2 linked regions of the Mytilus edulis genome follow. The protein of the gene in region 1 interacts with the protein of each later gene in a pairwise test. Links are inferred from orthologs where the notes say so. Each region holds a gene or a part of one and is shown in the gene's direction. Other genes may lie near its edges.

Evidence for each region. The genes of interacting proteins can lie anywhere in the genome.
Region 2: the proteins of serine/threonine-protein phosphatase PP1-beta catalytic subunit (region 1) and protein kintoun-like interact in binary tests that used the Drosophila melanogaster proteins (3 or more experiments, as listed by UniProt). The link is inferred for Mytilus edulis from reciprocal best matches to the Drosophila melanogaster genes flw and Nop17l.

Annotation. Positions count from the first base shown.
Region 1 is NC_092346.1:24,741,048-24,744,808, reverse strand, and holds the start of serine/threonine-protein phosphatase PP1-beta catalytic subunit, read left to right. Parts: upstream 1-1,177; 5' UTR 1,178-1,407; coding exon 1,408-1,459; intron 1,460-3,761. UniProt on the Drosophila melanogaster protein: Required for cell adhesion in non-muscle tissues and in maintenance of muscle attachment. Vital for larval development.
Region 2 is NC_092346.1:42,371,765-42,375,525, reverse strand, and holds the start of protein kintoun-like, read left to right. Parts: upstream 1-1,415; 5' UTR 1,416-1,517; coding exon 1,518-3,158; intron 3,159-3,761. UniProt on the Drosophila melanogaster protein: Required for cytoplasmic pre-assembly of axonemal dyneins, thereby playing a central role in motility in cilia and flagella.

The DNA of each region.
Region 1 (3,761 bases):
CATTGTACAATGCATTTGGTTCTGCTTTGAAAAGAATCACAAAGCTGAGTCTAAGTACCATATTATATAAAAGGTTAACTGGTTGTTAGGACCTAGTTCTTAATTGAGATCCTTGTCAGATATTCCTGGCCATATGTTTTCCTTTTTGTCATATTAAGAATTGTTTTAATTTAATATGTTCGTACGGGAAACAAGGAACATTATTCTCATACAAAAAATTAAGATAATTCTAAATACACATTCATAAAAAAATGGAATTTAATACAAAGGATAATCATAAGATATACTAGTTCTTGAATTGTCCTGGACTTCACTTCTGACTGTGATGGGTAAATGCAGGCGCGGAGCCAGAGAGGGGGGGGGGGGGGGGGGTTCCGGGTGTTGGAACCACCCCTTTTTTTGGACGATCAATGCATTTGAATTGGGACATGTAATTGGAACCCCCCCCCCCCCTTTTGTCCTAGGTTAGAAACACCCCCCCCCCTTTTTTTAAATGGCTGGATCCGCCCCTGAGATGTTTCTGAATACGGGACAAACGTGTTAGAAGTGGTAGACCCCAATGTCCAATGATCTTCATATTAAACCGAATATTGACTGTAAAAAAAAATGCTAACATTCCAATTTTCAATAACAGTTAACAGCAAATACATTATCACAATAACAGATAACAAAAAAACTAATAGCCCAATAACAGCTAACAAAGAATACGACAATAACAGCTAACAGCAAAAATATTTTCAAAATAACAGATAACAAAGAATTAAATTGCCCCATAACAGCATAACAGATAAACCCCTTGCCCCCCTCAATGAATAAGTAAATAAAACAAATCATATTTTAGATTTTTTATATCTCGTAGCTATGAGGGTCAGCTTGATAAGAGATAAACATAACTTTTTGATCTGTTAATGTGACTTTCTATATTAAGTCCCTGCTGTTGTTTGAGGTCTTATTTAGTAATAAAAAGACTTTTACAAAATAACAGAAATATGATCATAAACAGACCTCAGTAACAGACGTAATGTTTCAAAAAAGAAAATAGATAGAGAAACTAAAGCAAAGAAATTTTAATGTTTTTAAATAAAGCTTAATGGACTCCTGTTGAAGGCAAATTTGTATAATACTGATGTTGAAATTCGCGCCTTTTGTATATCGTATTCATCACATAAAAATATCTGAAACAGCGACATCTACGAAAGGAATGTGGTTGCCAAATTACGGGCGGTAATTTCATCGAAAACAGTCCAAAATGCCGTTTAAACGCTTTTTGTAACTGAATATCAATGAAACATAGATATGAAATAAGTATTATATCGAGTTTAATAAAGATCTGCACTACCCGTTGTGGGAAGTTCTTTGATTTTGCAAGGTGCTTGTCAACAACTATTTGTGACGTCATAAGACAATATGGCGGAAACAGAATTGAATGTTGACAGTCTGATCTCTCGACTGTTAGAGGGTAAATAAAGTGATAATGCATTTGAAACACTTTTTAGAAATAAGAGAATCTATTAAACAAATGAACAAAGTTATTATTAAAGATGTATGAGAAGAATGGTCAAATAGAAAACTGGTTTCAAAACTTATGAGGTCCCGTCTTCCGTCAGTTTCATAAGTTTGACAGTTGCAAATTATCATTGAATCAACTAACATACTAACGCTTTTATTGTTTATAAGAATGATAACCTTCTGAAAATATGCTACGACCTAGCTGAAACACATACTCAAACTAGTCCCTGACACGAGGTTTAAATCAGAAGTCCTCAAAAGGGAGGGACTATAAATATGATTTACTGCTGTACTGTAAAAATAACCCCATTTGAAGACTGTACTATGCATATATGTTAAGTATCACATATATTCAGTAACAGAATGATAAATAGGTTATAAGGCTTTTTACAGATTGGTACCATAAAATACAGAAGCTCGATGCTATGTGAAATTTTTTGCTGGTCGGCTGCCCCCCTCCACTTTTGTGGTAACGGGATCGTTCGCCCTGATAACATGTTCGCCCTAGGTTCGTTCGCACTGAGTTTGTTTGCCCTGGTAATTTGTTCACCCTGGGTTCGTTCGCCCTATTTTCATTTATGATATGTATATGTTACATTAACATGATTAATGAAAGAAATATATCTATATATATATTAAAATTTATGTATATCTATTAAAAGTTAAATAGCCTCACCGGACACAATTACGAACGATTTTTGAACTGTGATTAATAATTTTTTTATGTAGACTACTTTTCTTGAATTTTTTATACCATAGAATTTAAGATGTATAAAGGCTTTCCATTTTGCATCATATCCCACATAAATTTTTATGCACGTTGGGATACTTTAGTAAGATTTGCGTGACCTCGTTTTACGGGTCAAGAGAGCCACATATGGACGCAATTCCGAACAGCACTATATTGATATATCTTGCAGAAAAAATCAATGACAACAGTCTATATTGATAAAGCATACATTAATCTTTACCTCAAACACATTTTCATAGGAAAATAAAAAGCACAAGTTTGTTTTTTACTTCAATTACTTCAGCAGTGGTTGCAGACGAAATGTTGGTCATGTGTAAAGGAAAGATTTCTGATTTTTTTTGTTTTTGTGTAAGTTCCTCCTTTAAAGGAGCACTAAATTCAAGTTTATCCATTTCGGTGGTGTACTTATCATTCATCTATGATTTTTTTTATATTGGTCAACATTTCTTTCGGAGTTCTCTGGACTTTTCAATAAAATTAACATATTTTCTTTTGGCCATAAATAGGTTCACAAGAGTCTAAAAAACGTCAATTGAGGGGTTATTTGGGCATGATAAAAGGCATCACGCATATGAACAGAATCAGGAGATATTTTTCTTTCTATATATTAACAAAAGAAGGTAATATGCACTTACCTTTAAGTATTTATTTACATAACTTCCAGGTCAGATTGCCGTTCTTATAATATTTTCAGAATGATTTTGTCATCGTCATCAACATTCACCAAGTGCACATAAATTGTATTATCATGAAAACAAGGGATTTTTAATAGGGTTTTTATTTATAAAAACATTTATTGATAAATATAAACAAATATGATCTCAGAGGGCAAACATTGGAAATCGTTCGTAATTGTGTCCAGTCGTAATTGCGTCCTGTGGGGCTACAGAATATTAATTAAGTAAAATTCTTGGCTGCTTTTTACACTTTATTTTATAATAACTTTTAATTACTGTTGATTGAATTGTGATTGCTGATTAGGTATAATTTGAAATCTTTGATATCACTGATTGGTATATGAATTGTCTTTGATGGATTAATAATGAAAATAACATTTCATACGAAGCTTGAAAAAACAGTGGAGTCAGCGCAAAGTACGACATGACAAAAAAGCCCATACAATTCAAACTAACCCTTTTAATTAATTTAGAAGTAGAATGTCCCGGTTTTTTTTATAATAAGTAATAGAGACAACTCTCCATCCAAATAGCAATTTATAACTGTTATAACTGTTACTGAATATTTGATATTGTTAAAATGTATCAATAAAGTTAAATATATAAAAAACTTAGTCTTTAGTTGTTTCATGTCAAATACTTTGTAGTCTTTGAATTCACAGAAACTTATCCTCGTAGCAGCAAGACAACATAATAACTTAGTACATTTAAAAATACAATGTAGTGCTTCAACATATTCAATTAAATACACACAACACAACACTATAATAAAAAATAAAAATCAGGGCGAACATACCCGGGGCTAACAGGTATCAGGGCGAACA
Region 2 (3,761 bases), about 18 Mb from region 1:
TTCCTGGAATTGCAATTACTTATTTCTCAAATTACACTTATTTTTGTAAAAATTGCAATATTAAGAGCATGCAAAACTAAATCTGAATTTACAGTAGTACTAAGAACAATCAAGGTACACATAACATTTTAATATTTCCATAACCGGATGAACAAGAGACTTGATTATGATGGAATAATATTAAATTTGATGAGTAAACAAAATATAGGGGACTATTTCTGTTACTATTTTATTCAGAATTTAAAAAGGCATGGTAATTTCAGCTTGTTGTTTTGGGTGCACTCAGGGTTAACTTAAACCTTATAATTATCTAATGCAAACTATGAAGGCATATTAATACTAACACATGTTCATGGTGAACTTTTGGGAAAAAGACATTTTTAAGGAAAAATTGAAAATCATTACTTTTGTGAAGCTTAATGTGATGATTTTTGTCGTTGTGTTGTGTTACTCATCAGTATGTACATAATGCACATTTCAATTAATTCATATTTACATGTGTTTTGATTTTGGATAAAAAAAACTGATTGATAATAACAAAACAAAAAAAATGTTTAATGATTGCTTGTTATTTGCTGAATATCTTATTATCAAGAACGGTCTTCAACACGGAGCCTTGGCTACAGCAAGCTATAAAGGGCCCTTAAAAATGACGTGTAAAACCATTCAAACGAGAAAACCAAAGGTCTAATCTATTTAAAAAACAAAATAAACCACATCAACAAATGAAATGACAACTACTGAACATCATGTTCCTGACTCAGGACAGGTGCAAACAAATGCAGTGGGTTTAAACGTTTTAAAAGGCACCAACCTTAGCCCTTACCTGAAACAATAGTGTAATGTATATCCAGATTATTTATACATGTACAATGTCACTACTTGAGGACGAAATTCTTTTTAGGTTGATAATATAAAAAAAAAAAACTAAAGATAATGGTGGAGCGAATGTGATGCAAATTTAAATGTTATTGAATTAACTGACATAAAGAATAAGACATAAGTGTAAAAAATAATTTCAAATTGTGATTAGGGAACACTATTGTTGATTTTTTAGTAAATCTTGAAATGCTGTATTGTTGACTATATTTATATGAAATGTTCTAGCTATGATTTACATATATTATTGCTTTGCTGTAATTTTGTATACTGAATGGAGAATGGTAGTTTTTGAAGAATTTTTTATTATTCTATCATTTTAGAAAATTAAAGGAGATTTTTACCAATTAAAATGAATGCCTTAAAATTAAAGATATTCAAAAAACATTAATACCGTTTAATTTTTCATGTTCATATTACGTCAGAAATTTCATTTGTGGAAAGTGATTAAAAATATTCTGGACAGCGAAAATTCGAGAACCTGCAGGTTTTAACACGAAATTGAGTTATTTCCCTTTGCTTGATTTCTCTAGATTTATCCTCTACTATCAACGATTTAGAAAATTCCGAAAGAGCGTTCCTTGGGAGCAAAAAGCTGACCGAATATTTGTTTTTGTAGCAATCAAAAGAATTGAAAAATGGGGTCCGAAAAGAAAGAAGACTTTAAAATAACAGAAGATGAGGTGAAGAAGATAGGAGAAGCGTTGAAAGATGAACAATTCAGGAAGTTATTTTTGGAATATGCCGAAGAAATCCAAAACCCCGAAAATCGAAAAATTTATGAACAAGAGATAGCACAAATGGAACAAGAACGTGGTATGAACGTACAGTTTATCCACCCGCAGCCTGGTCATGTCTTGAAAACTAGCGTTGATGGTAACGTGAAAGCATTCATCAATATCTGTCAGAATGACAAGATGGGTAAGCCGGTTGCAAAACGTCAAACTTCATCAGATGGCAAAAGTGGTGTTAATTGGTCAATACCTCACTCACATTCACCTCCAAGAGATGATCTTGACAAACATAAAGTAAAATGCAGAGTATATGATGTAGTATTTCACCCTGATACGTACAGAATGTCTAAGTCAAACATAAGATTCAGAGGCCTTGTTGAAGACACAGCTATTGACGGTATAGAGCGGCAGTTTGGCGTGAAAGTTGACAGAAAGAATATCACACGGCCAAATTTGCCATACAAAGGTACACCCACTGCCACTGTTATTCGTTCAAAAGCAAATGAACCAGCCAAACCATTGGATGAAGATGACCCAATTAGGAAAATGCCATATCCATTCGATGAAAAATCAAGTGAAGAAAAGGCTAAAGAAATGGCTGATGCTGTTAAAAGGAAGAAAGAAGCAGAGAGTAAAAAAGCAGGGAAAACCAAAAGAAACCAAGCAGAAAAGAGAGCTGAAGATGATGCTACAGTTCCAAAGTATACCATTACACATAGATCTGACATGGATTTACAAGAGTACAGAAATACTCCTGACTCAAGGCCTAGTACCCGACCAAAAGCACTTGTTGTTTCAATTGAATTACCTTTGCTTGCTAATTCAAAGCCAGTTGAGCTTGATATATTTGAGAAAAAACTTGTACTTCAGTCTACAGAACCAGCTAAATACAAGTTAGATTTAGAATTGCCATATGCTGTCGATGAAAGTCAAGGCTCTGCAAAGTTTGATAAATCAAATAGATGTTTAATAGTTACGTTACCTGTTATACCAGAAGAGATGCCAAAACTACCAAATTTCATTGAAGAAATAAAACCTGAGAATGAGCCCAAGACTGATGAGGTTGAAAAAAAGTTTGAGGCAGTTGAAAACCCTTTAATAGAAGTTATCAGCACAACAGAAGCTAATGCCAAGCCAGTCTCAAAGGAGGAGGAAACAGTTATTGATAATAAGATGGGAAATGAATGCCCTGCATACTTAAATCATACACCAAAGATCTCATATGGATTTCCAACATTTGAATTTTCACAAGATTTTGACACTGTAACATTCATATTTAAAGTGAAAAAGATAGTCCCTGATTCTGTGTCAAAATTGTTTCCGTTGCCAAATGTATGTCATATCAAATTCATGGCAAAAGGAGCTAGTGGTTTCCCACTTCATTACAGCTTTCTGGCAAAGTTTTCTGCCAAAAACTGTTTTGTTCCAGAACATTGTAGCTTTGAAGTGAACAATAATAATGCTGTGTTGTTACTGCTGAAAGAGAAAGACAGCAGACAGACTTGGGAGACGTTTCAAGCTGGTACAAGTCTTGAAGAGCTTCAGGTAATATTATTATGAGGGTCGTAATGGGGGTTCCTTTAAGACGAATACAGTAAAAATTCTTGCCAAATGACATTAGTGGCATTAATTTTATTTGGTGCATGATGATAAAATGTACACTTAAATAAGACTGAATTAGACGAATCATGAATTTTTTCCCCAAAAAATAATGGTACAAAAAAATTAAATAATTGTTAAAACCTCTGACTAATCAGGATAAGGGATTTTGATGAAACACAGTAAAATACATGTATAAACCAAATTGACCCTTAATGGTAGCCGAAAATGACTGTTTGACGTCTAACAGTAAATTTAAAGGGCATTCCTACCCTCTTTTACCCTCTCACAAGCAGTACAATGTTGAAAAATACATATATATACATAAATATCCTGGTTTTCCTGTTTGAATAGATTTACACTAGTCTTGTTTGGGGCCCTTAATAGCTGGCTGTTCAACATAAACAAAGGCTGCTTGTTGAAGACTGTACTTTTACATATTGTGACTTGGCACGCATACCACATCTTTTTTTTTTATTCTAACTGCATACAATGTAACAGTACTGCAGTATAGTAAAATGTCTAGCCAAATTTAAGAGCTTTGTCCAA